Linked DNA regions of Cricetulus griseus. The protein of the gene in region 3 purifies or fractionates together with the protein of the main gene of each other region. This does not show direct contact. Links are inferred from orthologs where the notes say so. Each region holds a gene or a part of one and is shown on either strand. Other genes may lie near its edges.

Region 1 (5,552 bases), on a different chromosome or scaffold from region 3:
GTATCCACACTATTTTTGTGACTTTTGGCTAAATTTGAAACTATTTCAAAAATAAAAATTAAACCAAAATTAACTGATGAACACTCACAAATGTGGCATCTCACATCTGGCTATTAGCTTACTGGAAATGTGTTTAAAATTATAAGCAGTTAACAACTCACATAGATACCTTGCACACAAATTTTTTTTTCATTAAGTATTTAATTCCCTCATTTAACTTGTACCTCTTATAAAAATGTTGTTCTTAGCCTGGTGTGGTGACTCAAGCCTGGACCTCACAACCCAGGAACTTCAGGAGGGAGAATGGAGTTTCAGTTCAGACTGGACAATATAGCAAAACCCCATCTCAAAAAAATAATTAAATAAAATTTGTCTCAGTTCTGTATTCCAATTCTGAGACCTGATATTAGCTGCTGTATTCATAAAGTTTCCAGAACAATCAACTCTAAAATACATTCCTTCTCCACTTTCACAGTATCACTCCAAGTCTTGCCTTTTCCTAATATAAACTCTAGTCTGTTTCTTCATTCACCCCCACCCCCGCCTTTTTAAAATTACTGGCTTTGCTCTTTTTAAATGAACAAGGCTTAATTTCCTAGGGCACTATATGTATGCAAAAAAATAGACCCACAGTAAATGCTAATGTGTCAGAGGACTGGCCTGTGAGGAACTCGCTCTTTTGTCATCATGATAGCCACCAGCACATTCACTGAGGGCCAGCAGTGCAATGGCACTTTCCTGGCCACTACGAAGGTCCCTCTTCTTCTGGAACTCCATTCAATTTGGTAGCAAAAAGAAGACAACAAACAAGGAAACATGTGGTAATGAATATTAAGAAAAATAATACAAGGTTGTATCTAACCAGATAGTTGTGATGGTGCACACCCTTTTATGCACTCAGGGAGCAGAGACAGACGGATGTGACCATATAAGGGGCAGAACAAGGTATGGGAGAGAAGGGAGGAGAAGGTGAGTGGGGACAGAACCTGAGCACACCAAGTAGCCTTTTAAATTAAAGCCTCCCCCTTTGTTTCTGCTGTTTCTGATATCATGAGGATACTTTAGAATATCATTTTGCTTTTTTTTTTCAAACTTTTAATGTCCTTTTAATTCCTCAATGGCATATCAACCCTAATTGAGTTTCTAGTAATTAAAAATTTCAAATGCAGTACTTCATTTCTCATGAAACTATTAAGTACTTCTGAGTTATTTTAACTTGATATTTCTAAGCTATTAAATAACCCAAGACAGTATTTTATTTTGATATACTTGCTTGGAATCCTTTTGTCAGCAATGCTGTAGTTAGTGAACATTTATCAGACTTTAGTTGCTAATAATGATGCTTTTCTTAAACTACTTATTATATTAAGAGAAGGATACCAGATAGCTTTCACAAAGTAAATATACCTTCAAATGCTGCTATGAGGACAAAATACAAAATGGCCATTCAAACTATGCATAAGTCTTGCAGCTACTAGCCAACCCACTTGAAGTGATGGCCATGGACATCTGTCAACAATACTGGTTGTGGAAATCTGACAGATTTGATGGCCTGGTTATTAAGCAAAATCTTTCCACATCTTGGTCGTTCCGTTAGCTGCCTTGTTAATGAAGGTGCAGAGGTGGGTTAGTGTATTTAGTGGGAGGAGACAGGATTCCTGACTGGCCTTCTACTTCTCTGTTAAATTCCAGGCAAGGTCATGTGCAAAGGATGAGGCTAGGTTAGTTGTGGAACACTGGAAGAGAAAGAAGGCAAAGGCTGGCTTACTGGGGAATGAGAAAATGAATGTTCCACTGAGTGCTGAATGCTACTGTTGGTTCGCTTCCGAGGTGAGGTCTCCACATGAAGGGAAATGTGTTCACTGCTCCTGTTTAACTCACATGGCAGAAAGCTGCTTGAGTGCAGGCACACACTAGTGCAAAGATGTGGCTAGGTGACAGGAAAGGCAGGCTTGCTAATAGTGTCTGCACTATTAGCAAGTGTGAGAGGGAAAGTCATTTTTCTTTGAGGATACGGCATAAGCACAGTGCCCATGCTTCAGAAGATGGCTTCACGCATACTCACATGTACACAGGCAGCACTAACTGGAGCCATTGGCAGGTAAATAAAATAAATTTAAAGTTTGAACGTAACTAAGTGCTTACCTCTATTTCTGTAACTTTCTCAGAAGGATTATCAATTAAGAAACGAGCTAAAGTCCCAGGAGTTGTTCTATAAGTTAAAATGATTGAGTTTTTAGGATCCTGGCACCACTGAATAAAGAGGTCCCTTGAGAATCCACACTCCAGGTCAGGCTGGCTGGCAAGTACAACTTTGGGGCTTGGAACTCGAGCCAAGTCAGAAAGACCATGGCACAGAGAGAGATGGCGAAACTGAAATGGATTATTTCTCTTGTCTTCAAAACATCTCATCAATTTATCACTCATCCATTCTACCTAAGGCAAGGGGGGAAATGACAATAATTAGAAAATGCTATATTGTGAAATATTTAACAATAATCAAAATTTAAGACTCCCCCCGACCCAATTTGTGCCATTTGGACAAGTAGCTAATTGGTCCTTTTTCCCATTAGATTCTCCTGTTCCAGTTTTTAATCCTTAAAAAAACAACAACCCCCCTCCCCAATTTTGTCAAGTGTGGTTTTGCATGCCTTTAATCCCTACGCAGAAGAGATCTGCAGAAGCTGGAGGCTCTGACTTTGGAGCCAGCCTGGTCTATAGAGAATTCCAAAGCCAGGGCTACACAAAGAAACCCTGTCTTGAAAACAACAATTGTGCAGTGTTTCACTGATGTGGGCTTAAATCTTTCTGAGAAGAGAATGTGTTCTAAATGAATATCGGAACCAGGTATCATTGCTTGGAGGGAAAGAATTCATTTTAAGATGAATTCACTGGGCTGTGGTGGCTCATCTTCGGGAGACAGAGGCCATCTCAGTGAGTTCTAGGCCAGCCTGGTCTACAGAGTGAGTTCCAGGACAGCCAGGACTGTTACACAGACCCTGTCTTGAAACTCTGCCCCCACCCAAAAGAATGATGAATTCTAGCATTGATATTTTACTTTTACTCCCATTTTATAGATCAGAAAACCAAGAGTTAGAAAACAAGCAACTTGCTCAACCTGTCAAATGAGGACAAAAACAGAAATCTTAAGCGTAAATGAAGTAACATATGTGAAGAACACAGGACAGTAAACAGTTAACATTCAGCTACTATTATTATCAATTGCAGAAAAATAATATTTGAAGGGCACTACACTTAGCCTCTTTCCTCAATGTCACGGGAGAACAAAGAACAAACCTGTGACTTAGAAAACTCCACCACGTTATAGCTGACGTTATTCAGGAGGGCCAGTGAATAAACACCAAGGCCTGCATCTTTAGTTCTCCAAATCTGATCAAGAAGTTGAGCAAGCTCCAGAACCCTGCCGGCTGTGTCCACTGCTATTAGAACATTTCCATCACCACGGAGAGTTTCCAGAACATTTGCTTAAACAAGATCAGAAGAGCCCCATGAAGCACATGCTTTGCAACAAAACTAAACAGTTTCCAGTGTCTTCTATAAAGACTGCATAAGTAATTACTAGGATACATATAAAAGTATTTGTTCAGATCAACACAATGACTGTTGACTTGGTTATATATATCTTTTTAGGAATAAAACACATGATACATGTTTTGTATGAATGCATGTAGAATAAAACACAGAACATGTAACCTTCCAAGAAGAAAAGCATCTTTGGCAATAGCTGTCAATGTCAGCTTCAAGTGCTGGGTAAAAGCAAACTCTACCCAGTAAACATGCTCACGCATGTATACATACACACACATGAATTGAGGAGCTTCTTAAAAATGCATTGGTAAGCAGACAGATGAGTGTTTGCTCACACGTTTAAAAGTGGAACCCAGCTTTCCTGCTGCCATCACATATGGCTTATAAAAAAATAACACAAAGCACAGCAGAACGAGTCAAAGCAGAAGCAAGAGGTGATGGCACAAAGGCGCCTGAGTAAAATCAAGCTAACTCTATCAGAACAGAACACGAAGCACCCAGCCAGCAGACCTTGTGTGCTTTCAGAGCTCTCTTGGGTTCCCTTTGCTGTTTTTTTTTACCTCTCTCAATATATGCATGTTATACAGAGGCCAGTGAATGCCTGAGGGAGCTATCTATGTGCTGAGCGGTAGAGGAAGCCAGTCTTTAGAGAGTATCTTGACATGGTCACATTAACATTTTTAAAAACAAAACACCACAGGAGTTATGGGCCCAGCAAAATAGCTTAGTGGATTAAAGCGCTTGTCACCAAGCCTGACGACCTGAGTTTGATCCTGAAACCCAGATGGTGGGAGGAGAAAACTAACTTCCTCAAGTTGTCCTCTGACTTCTACATGCACTCTGTGGCAAGCATACACATATGCACGCATTGTACAAATGTATAAAATGTAACTAGAAATTACTCGAGTTAGCAGATCTCTTCTGACAAAGCTAACAGAATAAGCAGGAATGGCTATCCCCACACCCCCACAGCTATTCCTACAGAATACGGATATACGTACTCAAGAGCTGCTCATCTCTCTGTTTCCTTCTAGGCTGCACATACGTAGCATTGAATGAATCTGTGATAAGCAGAGAGGGTCTGCTTAGCATTTCCAGGGAACATCCATTTAAGTGGCTATAAAGATGAAGAATACCTGTCATTTCAAATGAACAGCGATGGCTTCACCTATTACAAAAGTAACTGCTTTTAAAAACACCCCCAACTATAAACATATGCATTCGTGATTTAAAAAAAAAAAAAAAAAAAAAAAAACCTGATAAATTCAAAAAAGTTTAAGGAGGAAAGTAGAAATGTTCCAGAGGACCACCACTTCAAGACAAATGAAATGATATATTGGCCCTATCCTTCTCAACAAACGAATTTTCTTGTGTATCCATATAGGCATTTAGAACACAGATAACCCTGTATATTCTTATATATTCATTTCTATCTTCTGGACTTTCCCCATGACATTAGCATTTTTTCTAAACCTAATTTTTAGAAATTGTAAAAACTTGCTGCCAGGCAATTGTTTGTAGAGAAATGGGCTATATGCAGCCCAGGTGACATCACATTCCTCCGTCCTTAGCCTCCCAATAGCTAGGATTACAGGTTTGCACCAAGGTATTCAGCTCACGACTGTAAAAACTTCCTATTTTACCTGCACCATGATGTATTTATCTGACCATTTATTTTTCCCTGTTTGAGTCTCTTTTTCACCATTTTATCTTTGAAAGACCTCCCAGTCCTCCTGCCTCCTTCTCTTAAGCACTGGGACCACAGGGGTGTGCCACCACACCTAGCTGTATTTTTTACTTCTTTAGGACACATTCCTTGAAATGTATATACAACTAGTGTCAAATGGCTTGCTAGAAAGGCTCAACCACAAAGACTGACAAGCTCAATTCTTCCTAGGAGGCTAACAGTATTTGGAAATAATATAAACATATATAATAACTACATACTATTTTAACATCTCTGTTTTGACTAATGCTGTCCAATTTGCAATTAGTGCATTTTT
Region 2 (5,552 bases), on a different chromosome or scaffold from region 3:
CGGAGAACTGTCAGACAGGTAATAGGAGGCTGAACCTCAGGAAGGCAGGAGCTCGAGGTTTTCTTCTTTTCTTTTCCTTATCCTTGTGGCCGGACCTAGAGCCTTGGCTTGCCAGGCAAGCAGTCTATTGTTGAGCTACATTTTTGGCCCTCTTACTGTTCATTCAAATTCATTCATTCATTCATTCATTTGGGCTTTATTTATTTGTTTGTTTGTTTATTTATTTATTTGAGGCAGGGTCTCTCTATGTAGTCCCGGCATTTTAGAGCTCAATGTGTAAATCAGGCTTGCCTCAAAATCACAGCAATCCACCTGCCTCTGCCCTTGCCTTTGCCCCTGCCCCTGCCCAAGTGCTGGGATTAGAGGTGTGTACCCCCACAGCTGGTTTACTTTTATTTTGAGAAGTATTCTTACTGTGTTTTTCAAACTGGCCTGAACCCGCCCTGCAGCCTTGGTGGCTGCTGAACTTATAATCTTCCTGTCTCTTCAAGTAGCTTGGATTGTAGGCCTGTGCCACCAGACTCAGCTCTCTCTCTAGTCCTCTGGAAGAGCAGCCAGTGCTCTTAACTGCTGAGCCCTCTCTCCAGACCCTATCTTTAAATTAGGCACTTATTTTTTTATTTTCCTGGTATGTCTGGTGTGCATGTATGCTTGTTCACATGGATGGAGGTGCCTGGTTGCTTGGTGTGAGGTACAGGCATGTGTGCACACATGTATGTGTTGACATGTGTGTTTCTTAGTCACTGTCTGCTTGGTTGAGGCAGGGTCTCTCAGTAGACCCCAAAGCCTGCTGAGCCATTAGTCTAGCCTGCCAGGTTGCCCTGGGATCCTGCCTCTGTCTCCAAAGTGCTGGGACTTTGGCTGTGTTGCTTCAGAGATCCAAAATGCCCTGGGGCTTGTGGAGGGAGTGTTTACCCACCGAGCCATCTCCACGTCCCATACTTTTATACTCTTTGCCTCAGGTATGCCTGCACAGCACGTGGGTATCGGGGCAACTTGCTGGAAATCTTTCTACCAAGAGGCTCCCAGAGAGTCTGTTTAGATCTTGAGGCATGGGTGGCTAGCACTTTACCCCCTAAGCCATCCTGATGGCCCTTATTTTTAGTTTTTTTAGATAGAGTCCATAGTATAGACTGCCTTGATAGCATGACAATCCTGCCTCAGCCTCCCAAGTACAGGGACTATGAAGAAGAGCCACCGTGCCTGGCTTTGGAGCCTGGTTCCAGGTCTGTTCTTCCTCCCCCAATCTCCTAGGTCCAGGAGCTGATCATCAACAAAGACCCCACCCTGCTCGACAACTTCTTGGATGTGAGTGATGGCCCTGGGGTGGGATAAAGGTGAGGTGATGCTCCTTGGTGTGGCTAAGCCATCTCCCTTCCGACATCACAGGAGATCATCGCTTTCCAAGCAGACAAGTCCATCGAGGTGCGCAAGTTCGTCATAGGCTTCATCGAGGAGGCATGGTACGCGCCTCTTTAGAGTCCTGGGGGCCTGGCGCATGTCCCCAGAGTTCCTCCCCCGCCACACAGCCCCTGCCCTTGAAGCAACACTTCATGGCTGCTTTGTTGGTTGAAGTGGCGGTTCTCCTTTCAGAACACAGGCAGCCGCTGCTTGCTGCTTGCCATCTCAGTCTCCGCTGTGGCTACTCCTGAACCAGGCTGATGTGATATGGTACTGGGAGGTGAACTCAGGTTCTCAGGAGCCGACTGCTGAGCCGTCCCTCCACCCCGGACCATGTTAAAACAGTCATAAGTGCTGATTAGTACAGTCACTCTGTAGTTCTTGATTTGCTTTAGACAAGAACTGATGCAGCTCAGGCTGGCCTGGAGCTACTTTGTAGCAGAGGATAAAACCTTGAATTTCTGGTCCTCCTGTCCCTGTCTCCTGTTTCTGGAATGGGAGGTTTGCTCCCAGTCCCTGGCCTCATAGTCTAGTTGGGAACCATCTGCAGAGGGAAGTCATACCCTCACCAACCTCTGCGCGTAGCTAGGCCATCTGCTGAGCGGATATGGCATCTTACTGTGCCTCTCCTACACTCCTGCCGGTCCTCCGAGCACTCGCCTGACCCCATCTCCCTCTGCTCCTCACAAAACGCCAGTGTCCTTCCTAGCCAGTCTGCTTCTGCCTGACCTGGGGCCATTCCATCACTTCTCCAGGTTCCTCAGAAAACCTTGCCTGAGCATTCCCTTTGACTCCTGTCTTCACTGTCGCTGTTTTTTTTGTGGTGCTCCACACTGCTTGAAATTGCCTGGGTAATTCACCAAAAAATAAATGGTGGCTTCACAGCAGGGCCTCCATATCCCAGTGTTTCCTCAAACAAGATTGGTTCTAACAGTGGTGACAGTGTAGGTGTTGAACAAGCAAGGACATCTAGTAATGGCTTGACCCCTCTTGCCTTTGATCTCCACAGCAGCCCTGGATAGCCAGTCACCCTCTCTGAGATTCAGAATGGGAAGTAGCTGGTTCCTTTCTCTATTCACGTTTGGCTCTGCAAGGGGGAGGAGATAAAATAGCTCTTTTTGTTACCCTGCTAGCCTGCCAGGAGCTATTGAGTCTTGTTGACTTATTTGTTATTCAACCTTCATCATGAGGCTTTGAGGTGATTTGGAGGGTCCGGTGGGTTTTCCCCGAGTTCACTTGGCCGAACTTGGCAGACCTAGGATACTTTACTCTGTGTCTCTGACCCCATTGCCCCACATTGGCACACTCGCCTCTTTACTGGGAACATTGGTGATAGTTTTTCATGTTGTTTGCTAGAGACAGGTTCTTACTGTGGCCTTGAACTTGGGGCAGTCCTCCTCCCTCTCAGCCTCCCAGGTGCTGAGATTGTGGCATACCACATCCAGCTGTACTAAATTTTAGGAGTTCGCAAAAAATTGTGTAACAGATGTGTCCAGTGAGCAAAACTGTGTAATGCCCTGTCTTCCAGAATTTGACACTCAAGTTTTATTTTATTTTATTTTATTTTATTTTATTTTTGTCTAGACAGGGTCTCACGTAACCCAGGCCTACAGCCAGTGCTCTTAAACACTGAGCCATCTCTCCAGCCCACCATTTTTTTGTCTTCTCTTTTCCTTCCCTCCTTCCTTCCCTCCTTCCTTCCTTCCTTCCTTCCTTCCTTCCTTCCTTCCTCTCTTTCTTTGGTGTTTCATGTTTTTTGAACGGTGTAACTGGTGCTTGGAATCAGAACGGAACGTACATTGTGAAAAGAATCCCATTAACGTGTTGCGCTCCGGGGGCGGGCCTTCTCAGATTGCTTTGTTCCTTGGCCAGACGTCACTGGAGGCCTTTGATTCTTTCTGGCAGCCAAAGTGACCCTGCCAGTTCTTAGCCCTACCAAAGGGTCCCTGATGTGGGAGCCTTCAGGCCTGAGTAAACAAAACTAGGTGTTTTCCTAAGTCCTTTCATTGCACGCTCGGTGGTTTTGGTGGCTGTTTTTACCACCTGTGCTGTGGGTGTTCTCCAAGTAAGATAAGGAATGGGGCTAGGGATGTGGCTCCGTTAGAATGCTTGCCGAGCATGCACAGAGCCTTGGGTTCCATCCCCAGCACTTTAGAAATCTGTGTGGTGGTACACACTTACAAATCCTAGCACAGGAGGTGTGGAGGCAGGAGCATCTGGAGCCCAAGGTCATCCTCAGCTGTTAGATAGTTAGAGGCCAAGCTGGGGCTGAGACTCTGTCTCAGAGAAAAAGATGATGGCCTGCTCAAACTTCAAACAATTGTTGGCTGTCCCTTACTTAGACAGCTGGACCCTACAGAGTTGCGGGAGTGAAGGCCGCAGGGCCAGCTGTGGTACAGTGAGGTGTCGCCATCATCCGACACTACGGGGAGTACTGACCATAAAGAGTCCCCACCTCCACCTCAGTCTCTTGATTCACAGGCCTGAGTCCCTATTCCCTACCCCAAGGCCAGCATTACCTGTCCCCTTCTCTTCCATCCCCAGCAAGCGGGACATTGAGCTGCTGCTAAAACTGATCGCCAACCTCAACATGCTCCTGCGGGACGAAAATGTGAACGTGGTAAAGAAAGCCATCCTCACCATGACGCAGCTCTACAAGGTGGCCCTGCAGGTGAGCAGCGCAGCTGGGCCTTCCCAGCCGGGGTGGCCTTCCTTACAGTCCAAGCCATGCCAGGGGTCGAGGTCAAGGCTGAGTTGCCCAGAGAAACCTTGAATTTCCCTCTCCCTGCCCACACTTCCTCCTTTTGCTGGGTTATGGCCTGTGTTGCCAGTCGTGGCAAGCATAAGCTTGTCATAAGTGAATCTGCTGCTGTTGTGAGAACAGACAGCAAGGCATCTAATGTTTGGGTCCACTCATTTATGTATTCCACAGACATTCCCCAAGAATGTCCACTCTCAAGCCCTGACAGGTGGTTCAGGGGATGGCCAGGACCAAGATTCTAGATGCAGTGCTAGCTCAGTGAGGGATGCAGGGCAGCCAGGTGTGGGTTGCTCACCTGCCAACCTAGCATGTGTAAGGCTAGGGCAGAAAGAGTTCAAGGCCACCTTGGACTGCAGAAATAATAGCAGTTTTTTAAAAAGGACCACAAATCTACAGAGATGGCCAAGCTGTTGGGAATGCTTGTTCTTCCAGAGGGCCCGGGTTCACTTCCACATGGTCTCTCGTAACCATCTGTAACTCCAATTTCTTTCTTTTTTGGGGGTGGGGGGTGGGGGGCTTTCGAGACAGGGTTTCTCTGTGGCTTTGGAGGCTGTCCTGGAACTCGCTCTTGTAGACCAGGCTGGTCTCGAACTCACAGAGATCCACCTGCCTCTGCCTCCCGAGTACTGGGATTAAAGGCGTGTGCCACCAATGCCCATCCAATTTCAGGTCATCCGATGCTCTCTTCTGACTTCCTCGGGTACTGCATACATGTGTTGCACAGATATATGCAGACAAAACACCCATACACATAAAAATAAACATCTTTGAAAAGGAGAATCACACGAGTTCTCAGTTGTTATTTGATGACACAGGAGTGAGTTTATTGGTTGGGCCATTCATTGTTAGCAAAATGAAGCCAGTCAGTCACTGCTGCTTTTTTGGGGAGTGGTATAGGGTGCTTTGTCTGCGTACATGTCTATGCAGTGTGTGTACAGTGCCTGTAGAGGCCAGAAGAGAACATCAGATCTTCTGGAACTGCAGTAGCAGACAGGGAGAGATGCCATGTGGGTATGGGAATGCAACCTGGGCTCTCTGCAAGAGCAGCCCATACTCTTTAACTGCTCCCCTATCTCTTGAGCCCTGCTGACCCCTCTGAGGTGACTGCTCCTGTGTCTTGAGGTCTGATACTTCATCACTGGCTTAGCTGTGTCTTGGTTGCCCCCATCCTAGCCTTGCCCAGTACTGAGCATAGCTGTTGGTTTAACTAAGTGAATGTGCTCACAGTCATTCAGTCTGCAGGTGGGGGGCGGATCCTGCTCACGGTGATGTGTTGTCTTCGCTGTCTGTCTTTTCTATTCCTGACCCCTCGGCAGTGGATGGTGAAGTCTCGGGTCATCAACGATCTCCAGGAGGCCTGCTGGGACATGGTGTCCTCCATGGCTGGGGA
Region 3 (6,004 bases):
TGGTGATTTAGCACTGATTTTGACATTGAACAAAAAATCGTGGCTGTGGCAGGCAATCAAAGGCATTTAGAATATGCTAATGTTATCACTTATGGGCAAAACTATAATTTAACATCTACAGGGGGCATAGAAACACAGTAGACTGTTTGGGAAGGTCTGTTTGTATATAAAAATAAATGTGTGTATAAAAAGTGGATGCTACAGTGCCTACAGACTCAACTCCTTAAGCTGGGGGAACTCTGTCCATTAACCTTTGAATAGCTGTTGTCAATTGTGTTTATCATCTAACACCCCCTCCCACCTTCATTTGTTTCATCAGCTCAAACATCTGCTCTGGGGGAAGGCTGGCGACTGCTTTGCTAATAGACTCAGGGGCATCCTCAGGACTGATGGTCTCTCCATAAGGTGACTCAATGACCGGTGCACCAGTTCCAAGGCCTGATTAGGAAGAGAGCACAACAAAGTCAGGAAGGCAAAATAACAACCTAAGTCATTTCAAATGGCTATTTTCCAGGGTGTCTGTGAGCACCAACCAGTAACTTCAGATTCTGGAGCTAGAAATTAAGCCACCTAAAAATCTTTCTGAGAAGGAAAGTGACAGTGTATCTTCTGTTCTTAGGTAACAGCTATGAAAGTGATAATGCTGCTATTGATTTTGTTGGCAAATCACTTCAGAAGAAAAACATTTAAATAGACAAAGATGCTAACTTCAACAGGATTTGTGGAAATGCCTTTAGGCTTTATGAACCTGAAATGTCCCAAAAAGTGGAGACCAACTCCTAAAGAACAGAAAGATTTCTAAAGCCAAGTTGCTTAAATGTACACATCTTTCACTCCAGGCACCCTTGGTTCTAAGAAGCTTTTCCTTCAGCTAACCACCTCAGCATCTTCTAAAGCATAATCCCAAATGAACAACTTGGATCATCTTCTCATCTTCATTAACTTGTAATATATATGGCTTGCATTTATACTCACTTTTCAGTTCTTCTTTGTTCTTTTCACTGGCAGCATTATCCACTCGAAGTGCTCGTCCACTGAATTCACGCCCATTCAAGTTCCGCATGGCACTAAGTGCTGTTTCTTGGTCTTGGTATTCACAGAAGCCATAACCTTTTGGTTTTCCTGTCTCCCTATCATATACCAATCTGAAGAGCAAAACCAAGTATCAGAAACAAATGCTACACACACACACACACACACACACACACACACACACAGGCTTCTTGCTAACATTGGCATGTTCTAATTTAGACCACAGTAAGATACCCTTCTAAGCCAGGCATGGTGGTGCATGCCTTTAATCCCAATGCTCAGGAGGCAGAGGCAGGCAGATTTCTGTGGTTCAAGGTCAGTCTGGCTATACACTGAGTTTCAGGACAGCCAAGCCTGTTACACAGAGGAACCCTGTCTCCAAATCCCCCCAAAAAGACACTCTTCTATTTCTGCTTTTATGTTTTTGAAACATTTTTAATGAAAGAAATTTTCCAAGTAAGACTGGATATGAATTATAAAGCATGTACATTTATCTCAAAATCTGTGGTTTTTAAAGAATCTCCCATGAAGATCTTAAAAGTTCTCACCTGAAACTAACAACAGGCCCAACCTCAGAGAAGATGTCCTTCAGTTGTTCTTCAGTAGCTTCATACGGAATGTTTCCCACTAAGGAACAGATAATACATTAAAATGCTGGTGCAGTAATGGAGCTCTTCAGTAAGCAAGTAAACAGTAGGCTTTCTATTTTTATCAATAAATAGGTAACAAGTTGACTGAACAGTGTTCTCCAAAACGCTTCCACTGTACCTTTTCAGACCCCACAACAGACCCAGAGGCAAAATAAAAAAAGAAGTCTTTCAAACAGTTCTCATATGGATATGACAAATAGGATGTTTTCCCTTACTTTGATGAAAATATATGTTTAAGCACTGGTATTTACTCATAACCCTGTGTTTGACCAGTGACTACTAAAAACATAAAGAGGGTGGGTTCATGTCTGTATTTCCATGTATACACATGCTTATGGAGGGAATAGCCAGGAATATAGTGGAGGGGGGTTAAAAATCATTCTCAACTGTTTTGTCATGTTTCTTTCAAACAGTGCTTCTTGTTCTTTTTGTTTTAAGTCTTATTATATAGTGTGGCCGGCCTTGTTATGTAACCTAGGCTGGCGTTGAATTTGAGGCAATTGTACTGCCCCAAAACGTGCTTTTAAACGTGCACTCAGGAGGCAGAAAAAAAAAAAACCAAAAACAAAGAAAAAAAAACCACCCCCCCCCAAAAGTGCACGCCTTTAACCCCAGCACTTGGGAGGCAGAAAAAACCAACAACAAAAAAAGCGCATGCCTTTAATCCCAGCACTTAGGCAGAAAAAAAGCAACCAACAAAACAAAACCACCACCCCTCCCCCCAAAAGCTTAAGTTTTGTTTTTGTTTTTTTGTTTTTGTTTTTTTTGGTTTTTGGAGACAGGGTTTCTAGGGCTTTAGAGGCTGTCCTGGAACTAGCTCTTGTAGACCGAACTGGTCTCAAACTCAGAGATCCTCCTACCTCTGCCTCCCGTGTGCTGGGATTAAAGACATGTGCCACCAACGCCCGGCAAAAGCACACGTTTTTATTTTTTGGTTTTTCGAGACAGTGTTTCTCTGTGGCTTTTGGAGGCTGTCCTGGAGCTAGCTCTTGTAGACCAGGCTGGTCTCGAACTCACAGAGATCCGCCTGCCTCTGCCTCCCTATTGCTAGGATTAAAGGCGTGCGCCACCAACGCCCTACTAAAAGCGCACGTTTTTAATCCCAGCCCTTGGGAGCCAGAAAAAAAACCAACCCCTGCCCCCAAGGAAAAAAAAAAACAGCAATACACGTGGCACACGCCTTTAATGCCAGCACTCTGGAAGCAGGGACAGGAGGATCTCTGTGAGCTCGAGACCAACCTGGTCTCCAGAGTGAGTTCCAGGACAGCCTCCAAAGCCACACAGAGAAACCCTGTCTCGAAAAAAAAAAAATTAACTCATTTAATTCCTAAGAACTGTTTAGTTTCGCTTCTCTAGAATCTCCCTGAGCTTTCATCAATCAATCATTCATTCATTCATTCGCAACCCACCTCAAGGTGCCCAGGTGGCCGCTACCACTATGGTTGGATGAAACGTTACAAGTAAAAAGCAAGCGATATTAGGCGTTTATGAGAGGGCAGGAAGTGGATATAGGGTCGATGGCTTCAAAATTAAATCTGTATTTTGGGCTAGGAGAAGCAGCACGGAACAGGGGCGCTCTGTTTCCACGCACCTTTTCTCCTAAAAAATAACTGAGAATCATGAAGGGGAAAACAGAGACGACAAACGCTAGGGTCTAGCTCCCTGAACCACACTGCGGAAAACCTCCAATACCTTGGAGCCCAAGTTGGGGGGGGGGGCTCTGTTTGCCCACGAGTACACCAGGCTGCCGCGTCAAAGGACAGCGGGGAAATCGCACGCCCGCCCCGACACCCGCTCCAGCTGGGGACCGCAGGGGACATCCCTCCCTGACTGGAGGCGCCACTAAATTCCTCTCACCGAACACAGAACGCAGAGAACGATCCACCGCAGGGTCTCTAACAGGCAAACCCGCCATGGCTACCCCTGAGGTGGCTTCCGGTGCGCCTAAAACACACTTCCGTGGCAGAGTGAGGCCAGGGCCGAGCGCGCCTCCGTCCGGTGGGAGCCGGAAGCACCTGGACAGAGCCGCCACGGATCTCGTTCCGCGCGTCACGTTGTGGGTTCCCGCCTAGGGTTTTGTTCGGGGGTGGGGCAACAGTCTGCGGGAAGACCTACGGCCCGAGAAAAGGGGCGTGGGTTGCCCGCAGGGGGCCGAGCTATGCTAATTTGAAGTCTCTGCGTTTGCGGTCCTCCTCCTCCGTCATTTTCACTGGTGCACATCCAAACGTTTGTAAGCAGCGCTACAGATGGCTGCCGCAGATTTACCCTGGCAACAGGGAAGTCATTTGCTAACAGCTCTGGCACTGTCATCTTCGTTCTGTCCTACTAGAAATGTGGGGGCCGTCCCCAGTAGCATACATCCTATTACTTTGTTGACGCTTCCCTGTACTGAGGGAGAGCTGAGAGAGGCTGGGGAATGAGAGGACTCTCAAAGTCTAGTACCAGCACTAGTAAGAAAGCCTAGGGGCAGTGTGGCACTGGACATGAGCAGGGGAAGTTTTGGAAGCCATGGAAAATGCCCTTGGCTGTGGTTGTGCACACCTCCTGGGTTAGTACCAGAACAGTTAGCCTGCCACTGGAGTTGGAGGAAATGCAGGGTGGGTTATCCTGAGGGAAATCAGATTAAAAGAACAAGGAAAGGAGTTAATAGCCCTGCCGTCCGAGAAAACCTACCTGGCAAAGTAAGTCCAATGTAGTAAAATAGGCACAGACTTGGAGGCATGGGTTTAAAAATGCCAATTCCATGAGCTGGGTATGTGGCCCATCGGTAGAGTGCTTACAAACCATGCATTAAATCCCCAGAAAAACATACATCCTGTATCAGAAGAGTCTGTGCTTTAAAAATGAGGAATAGAACACACAACACGCACACACACAGAGGAACATGTCTCGAGTAACTCTGGTAAAGAGGAAAGTTGGCAAGTATCACCGATTGAATTTCCAATCACTATGTGACCTATAGGATCTTTTATATAATAGAATTGTTTGGAGCTTGATATTTACAGCTCTGTAAAAGGCACAGATTGACAATTTTGGTGCATCACAGTTCAATGTAGTGAATTTTCACTAAATGAATGTATGGCTAAGTAGATTTCTCACCTAACGTTTCAAAATTCATACAGACAAAAGATTTAGTTGGGGTACTTAACTAAAAATAGGGGTTCTTGGACCTCTACTCCAATCTACATATAGGGTGAGATTTTACACAAGGAATGAGAGAATTATTTTTTCTATGAGTGCCTCTGGTGGTTCTCTGGCCATGCAATTTGGGAAACGTAGTTAATGAAGTAGTTTTGTGACAACATTTGGTGCAGCCATACATTCTTTTTTTATCTGTGATTTTTCTTAAGTAATAGCGGGGCAGCTCTTCTAGTAGGCCTAGAAAATTTTGCTCAGCTTTACCCCTTGTGAGTGAGGAGGCTTGGAAACGGAGTGGAGTGGTTTTGGTTGCTGGATGACTAGCGAAACAGTATGACTGCAAGAAGATGCAGAAACAAGAAACATACTGTCATATCTAGAGTGCTACTCAATGAACTCCTCACTCTACCAGATGCCAATGTTTCTATCAGCTATAGTGGAGAAAACAGACCCTGGCTCTAACATCCATGTTGTGTGGTCAGTTTTGCATGGGTAACTTCTACTTTAGCTCTCTCACAACTATGCAGCTAATTCCAATAAAAGCTGACATTTGTAGGTGGAAAGTTTCTACACCCCGATAAGCATCTCTGCCAATGCAGTAATCCTAATCAGACCAAATCAAACTGAATTAGAAAAAGCCACGTTTAATGGATGCAACGCTCCCAGATGGCCTTCCAGTCCCCAAGCAGGGATGGGGGAAGACCGGAAAACCAGGTCTACTTTCTGAGAGGCAGTTTAAATACCCTGTAGGAGTAGTCCTGGCCGTCTCTGGGGGAGGGGTCATCACTTGGCAGGCTTACTGAGATGTAACAGAGTTTGGAGAGGGATAGGGGAGGAGGCTTGGGTGGAACTTCCACCATAACATCAGTTAAGAGCATTGGCAGCTCCTCCAGAGGTCCTGAGTTCAATTCCCAGCGCCCACAAGGCAGCTCACAACTGTCTGTAATTCAAATTCCAGGGGACCTTACTCCTTCACAAAGACATGTGTCTCCTTTTCCCGTCTCCCCTCTCTCGGGGACTGGAAGGCCATCTGGGAGTACTGTATCCATTAAACGTGGGCTTTTTCTAATTCGGTTTGATTTGGTCTGATTTGGATTGGCTTATGGGGTGTAGAAACTTTTCATTAGGTATTTGTCCCATCCTCTACAGTATCAGTTTTTGTGGGAGGCACAGAGGTCCATGTG
Region 4 (5,552 bases), on a different chromosome or scaffold from region 3:
AACCTGCCTGGTCGATCTGAGACCAGGCTGGCCTCAAACTCACAGATATCTGCCTGCCTCTGCCTCCCAAGTACTGGGATCAAAGGCATGAGCCACCACTGCCTGGTTTACTCTGGATGTTTTCAATTTTGTTTTTTGTAGCAATGGCTGTCCTGGAACTCATTAAGCAAACCAGGCTGGTATTATTTAGAAAGATCAATTTGCCTTTGCCTCCTGAGTGCTGGGATCAAAGACCAGGCAAGATGATATAGTTCAATTGAAATAGTTCTTTAGGTTATGTTAAATGACAGAATGTAAGTTGGATTTGGAAGAAATTTTTTTCGTGTGTGTGTGTGTGTGTGTGTGTGTGTGTGTGTGTGTGTGTGTGTGTGTGTGTGTGTTTGTTTGTTACTGGGCATCAAATAATGAGTCTGTGAGATCAGACCCAGTGAGTCTGTGGATGTTACTGGACAGCACTAATCCAATGTGTATATTTGTAATGGGGCATCAGCTAACCTGGGGATTCACACATATTAGGAAGTATTCTACTACTGAGTTACATCCCAATCCAACAAGTTGTTTTTTTGTTTGTTTGTTTGTTTTGTTTTTTTTTGTTTTTTTTTTCTGATTGTTGATGAAGTAGAGTTTGTTTATGAAGTAGAGTCTTGCTATGTAGTACTGACTAGCCTGGTACTTTGTAACTCAGCTACCCTCAAATTAATGGCACTCTTCCTGTGTCATCTTCCCAAGTGCTGGAATTATAAGCATGAGCTACCATGCCTGGCCAGAAATATTTTTCCAAACAGAAATTTTACATAAAATAACTGAAGTAGTTGATATCCTTCTTTCATATTTGCTTATCTGAATATTGTATTACTCTGTAGTCAGAGTGTGGTTATGAAATAACATAACTCTTTGAGACAGATTTTGGGCTCTGTACATACCTTTTCTATTCATTGGAAAAGTAGCCAAATAGTGCAAACTATTAGCTTCTCCAGAGGTGACAATAACAATTCTACCGAATCTCCACTCGTGTTACCTCTTTCATCATACATCCTGCAGAGTGACCCTCCTCCACTGCCTGTAGAGATAGCTCATGGCTATTCTGTTTATCACTCCTAGGATCTGGTATTGGTTGGTAATACTGTGTTGTGTCTTTCCTTACTCGGGTTTTGTTTTAGTTGGTTGGTTTTGGATGTTGTTGCTTGGATATCTGTTTTTTTTCTAATAGGGTCTCATGTAGCCAATGTTGACCTTAAACTCACTATGTATCTGAAGATAATCTTGAATTCTAAAATCATATTAACAAAGTGATATTAGGTAGAGGAGAGTAAACATTTTAAACAAAGTATTTTAGACTTATCAACCTTCCCCCCCTTATATCTGAGTTGTTCTAGGCTCATCAAACATTTCTAAATGTTTGTTTAGGAATATGAGACAGTAATGAAAGGCTTGGATCGCAATGCTCCTTCAGTGCCTCCTCAGAATACTCCTCAAGAAGCTCAGCAAGTAGACATGTGGAAGAAGTACATCCAGTGGGAGAAGAGTAACCCTCTTCGAACAGAGGACCAGACCCTTATAACCAAAAGAGGTAACAAGAGTAGCCCTCGTGGGACTCCAACTACATGTGTCTTGGACTGTTTGATTTTAACCTCATGGATTGCCTCAAGCTCTGCTCCTGCTTCTGCCACCCACCACTCCAGGCTCTTTACTCTGCAGGTTAGGTTGGCTTCAAGCTCACTATGTAGCCTTGGCTGACCTCCAACTCATGATCTGTCTTAACTTCCTAAGTCACAGGAATGTGCTACCATGCCCAGATGAGGCTTTGATTTTTATTCCTAAATCTTTTGTTTTTCCACTTGTGTTTTTTCATTCATAATCATGTCTACAGATCTATCTTCATGTTCACATAGTCCTAGTTTTATTGTATCTAATCTGCTGTTGAGCTAATATAGCAAATTGTTCATTATATATACTGTATTTTTTAGTTCTATAAATTTCCATTTAATTTTTTTATAATTTTAATTACTCTATTGAGTTTCATGTGTTACAATGTAGTTGTGTTTGTGTGTATGTCTGTATATTTTAATTTTTAATTGTTTGTGTATATGGATGTTTTGACTGCATGAATGTCTTGCATACCGCTTACATGCCTGGTGCCCAAAGAGACTTGAAGAAGTCATTGGATCCTCTGGAACTGCAGTTACAGATAATTATGAGCTACCATGTGGGTGCTGAGAATCAAACCCAGGTTATGTGCAAGAACAAGTGCTCTTAACCGCTGAGCCATCTTTCCAGCTCCTGTAATGTGTCTTCTTTAGATTCACGAATGTGGTTATTACAATAGCTGCAAAGTCCTCATTTACTAATTCCTAAAGGCAGTGGACCATCATGGGATTGGTTTCCTTTGACATTTGACAGTTGGTCACATTTTCATGTTTTGTAACCTATATAAACAAACAGTTAAATTTTTTAACATTTTATAAATGTACAAATAATAGATTATAAAGACTGGATTCTTTGGTCTTCTCTGAAGAATACTGAGTTTTATTTAATAGGAAGTTCAATTATTTATTATCCATTTGGACTTTGTATAATGTGAATCTCACCATTGCCCCTGGACAATCAATCTACTTTGATTTCTGCTTCATTTTGCAGTTTGGGGGGGTGGTTTATTTCATTTTACATATATAACATGTGCACACAAAAACATACACACATGGAGATAGAGAAGTATCAGGAATTGAACCAAAGGCCTTGTACATTTGTTCATACTAAGCATATGCTCTACCATAGAGATATACCTTCTGTCTTCAGTTTATATTAATTTCAGAAGAGTTAGATTTATACAAATTACTATTACTGATGGATTGGAATTTCACTGAATTCTTAATTTTGTAGGCTCACTCACCTACATGACTTTATACTGTTTCTTTGCCTGTATCTATTTTGGGGCACTGGTTCAAACCCAGAACCACATGTATGGCAGATAGGAATTCTACCACTGAGTCACATCCTTGGCAGCCTCTGCCAATGTGTACCCTCCCTTCCATCTGTCTCACTTAATTCTCATTGACCAACTTCTGCTGCTTTGGTCTCCAGATGCCAGTCACTCAATGAAATTACTTAGGCTTTCTTTCTTCCAACATGTGTGTCTGTGTGTGTACATGTATGGTGGTTTTTTATGTTTGCTTTTACTGTCCTGTGTAGACTACATCCTTCTTGAATGTTGGCAGCCATGTTCACTTCTTTTTTTCTTTTTCTTTTATTTGAATTAGAAACAAGATTGTTTTACATGTCAATCCCAGTTCCCACTCCCTCCCCTTCTCCCCTACCACTCCCCCCACCCCCACCCCCATCTGCCAAATCCCCCCCCCCACCGTTCACTTTTGTGCCTTTCTTTCCAGCATCTAGTTGTCCCAATAGATAGTAATTTGGTAAATAGTGAACAAATCAGCCTCTGGATGATGGCATCAGAGGTTACTTTTTTATTTCAAATCATTCATTGTTAAAGATCATGTCTGAGTCTAATAATTTCATGTGTGCTTGTGATAATGTTGTTAGTGCTGTTTATCTTAATTGTTTTGTGCTTGTCTTCCCTTAGTTATGTTTGCTTATGAACAGTGCCTGCTTGTGCTGGGCCATCACCCTGATATTTGGTACGAAGCTGCCCAGTATCTGGAACAGTCAAGTAAGCTGCTTGCGGAAAAGGGGGTGCGTATCCTTCCCCATCCTCTTTTTACCTTTGTGACTTTGCTCTAGCAATAAGATCTACTGAAAAAATATAACATCAATTTTAGTAAAAAAGCATAAGTATTATCTAGGTTTAAACACATACCCATACACATATACCAACACATAACATTAAATATAGCAGAAGGGGAGCTATTTGGGAAGTGTGGCAGAGAGACGAGACAAGGTATTGGGTATAATCTCAGGAAATACAGTGGTGTATATATATGAAAATGTCATATTAAAACTCATATGCTAAATTTACTAAAAGTTTGTATATGAAAAGTATCTGTTGAAAATTTTAAGCTTATGTCAGTATTAATTTTAGTAATACTCATGATTATATTTCCTTAGAATTAAAATATGATTGCTTTTAAAATTTTATCAAAGTGCTATATCATTTAAAGAACTTAAATGGTTCTCCTATAGTTCTCCTAAGTAACGGGTGCTGGAGTGGATAACTGTGTGGTAGAGGCCCCTGGGCTCAAGCCCTAAAAACTTCTCTGCTCAGAGCAGGAATAAATCCTTGGTAATTTTTTTTAATGCAAATGTGTATTTTTAGTCTTTCAACTACATTGAAGTTATTGAGGATGTGCTTCCTTTTTCCTCTTAGGATATGAACAATGCCAAATTATTTAGTGATGAAGCTGCTAACATATATGAAAGAGCCATAAGCACTTTATTAAAGAAGAACATGCTCCTTTATTTTGCATATGCAGATTATGAAGAGGTGAGAAGACTCAGAAGGTTTGGAACTCTGTATGTGTGTGTGTGTGTGTGTGTGTGTGTCCGTCCCATGCTGGCCTCAAACTCATGCTTCTCCCTGAGCCTGCTGTATACAGGGATTGCATCTAGTGCTTACAGTTTTACTGAAGGACTAAGTTGTTTTTTGGAGGGACAGGGGAGCAGCTTCTTTGTTTTGTAGCCAGAGATGGTGACAGTAAACAGTTGTTAGTCCTCAAGTTCATATAAATTTATGTGCAATATAGGTGCCATTGTGTCTTGTGGGAACAGGAGTATAGGCTTCGGGCTCCTTAAAGCTTATATCTGTTCATTAGTGAGTATATACTTATATTCACTTCTCTGCCTCCTAGAGTCGCATGAAGTATGAGAAGGTTCACAGTATATATAACAGGCTTCTGGCAATTGAGGACATTGACCCCACCTTGGTGAGTAACCTTCTAAGTCTCTTTTTCACCATCATACTCTGACTTAATACAGCAAACATTTAAATCACACACAATGACATTCATTGTTCTTATGTCTTATTAGATCATGAGACCTTCTATACAAAACACTACTGGGCATGATGGCTAACACTTGTAATCTCAGTATTTAGGAAGTGGAGACAGAAGGATCAGGACTATATAGTGAGTTTAAGGATAACCTGCACTATATAAGATTCTGCCTCAAGAAGCAAATAAAGAAGTAAAGCATTTCCACCACCTCTGAAAAAATCCCCTTCTGTGACCCTTTGTATAACCCTTTACTCTGCCCCAATCCCTAAAAGTAATCTCTACTCTATTAATATTGTTTTTACTGCATCAGTATAAAATAGCTACAAAAGGTCTTTCTTATAACACTATATGATCATATTTTTAAATTAGTCTTTTAAAATAGGCATACTTAGTAGGAGTTTCATTATGGCATTTTCATGCATGCTTTATTTTTGCTATTCTCCTATCTCATCTCCTTTTCCCCCTTATTTGGTGCCTTTCCAATTCTAATAGTCTCCCTTTTGCTTTCATGTCACATATATTCTATTTCTCTTACCTTCTCCTACCCTTACGGTCTCTTTACTCATGGTTGAGTTTACAGTTTCATGGTTCATTTGTGGTAGT

The links.
Region 1: the proteins of Cstf2 (region 3) and Cpsf2 purify together in Homo sapiens (affinity purification with western blotting; 3 studies listed by BioGRID and IntAct, with this or other methods). This does not show direct contact. The link is inferred for Cricetulus griseus from reciprocal best matches to the Homo sapiens genes CSTF2 and CPSF2.
Region 2: the proteins of Cstf2 (region 3) and Sympk purify together in Homo sapiens (affinity purification with mass spectrometry; 4 studies listed by BioGRID and IntAct, with this or other methods). This does not show direct contact. The link is inferred for Cricetulus griseus from reciprocal best matches to the Homo sapiens genes CSTF2 and SYMPK.
Region 4: the proteins of Cstf2 (region 3) and Cstf3 fractionate together in Homo sapiens (co-fractionation; 4 studies listed by BioGRID and IntAct, with this or other methods). This does not show direct contact. The link is inferred for Cricetulus griseus from reciprocal best matches to the Homo sapiens genes CSTF2 and CSTF3.

Annotation. Positions count from the first base shown.
Region 1 is NC_048598.1:104,041,162-104,046,713, forward strand, and holds part of Cpsf2 (cleavage and polyadenylation specificity factor subunit 2), read right to left. Parts: intron 4,667-5,552; coding exon 4,551-4,666; intron 3,486-4,550; coding exon 3,298-3,485; intron 2,437-3,297; coding exon 2,146-2,436; intron 1-2,145. UniProt on the Homo sapiens protein: Component of the cleavage and polyadenylation specificity factor (CPSF) complex that play a key role in pre-mRNA 3'-end formation, recognizing the AAUAAA signal sequence and interacting with poly(A) polymerase and other factors to bring about cleavage and poly(A) addition.
Region 2 is NC_048602.1:28,335,793-28,341,344, reverse strand, and holds part of Sympk (symplekin), read left to right. Parts: intron 1-1,254; coding exon 1,255-1,308; intron 1,309-1,389; coding exon 1,390-1,463; intron 1,464-3,909; coding exon 3,910-4,072; intron 4,073-5,478; coding exon 5,479-5,552. UniProt on the Homo sapiens protein: Scaffold protein that functions as a component of a multimolecular complex involved in histone mRNA 3'-end processing. Specific component of the tight junction (TJ) plaque, but might not be an exclusively junctional component. May have a house-keeping rule.
Region 3 is NC_048604.1:46,067,661-46,073,664, forward strand, and holds the start of Cstf2 (cleavage stimulation factor subunit 2), read right to left. Parts: upstream 3,705-6,004; 5' UTR 3,598-3,704; coding exon 3,540-3,597; intron 1,660-3,539; coding exon 1,581-1,659; intron 1,146-1,580; coding exon 976-1,145; intron 439-975; coding exon 302-438; intron 1-301. UniProt on the Homo sapiens protein: One of the multiple factors required for polyadenylation and 3'-end cleavage of mammalian pre-mRNAs. This subunit is directly involved in the binding to pre-mRNAs.
Region 4 is NC_048599.1:73,016,556-73,022,107, reverse strand, and holds part of Cstf3 (cleavage stimulation factor subunit 3), read left to right. Parts: intron 1-1,407; coding exon 1,408-1,570; intron 1,571-3,583; coding exon 3,584-3,693; intron 3,694-4,324; coding exon 4,325-4,441; intron 4,442-4,805; coding exon 4,806-4,880; intron 4,881-5,552. UniProt on the Homo sapiens protein: One of the multiple factors required for polyadenylation and 3'-end cleavage of mammalian pre-mRNAs.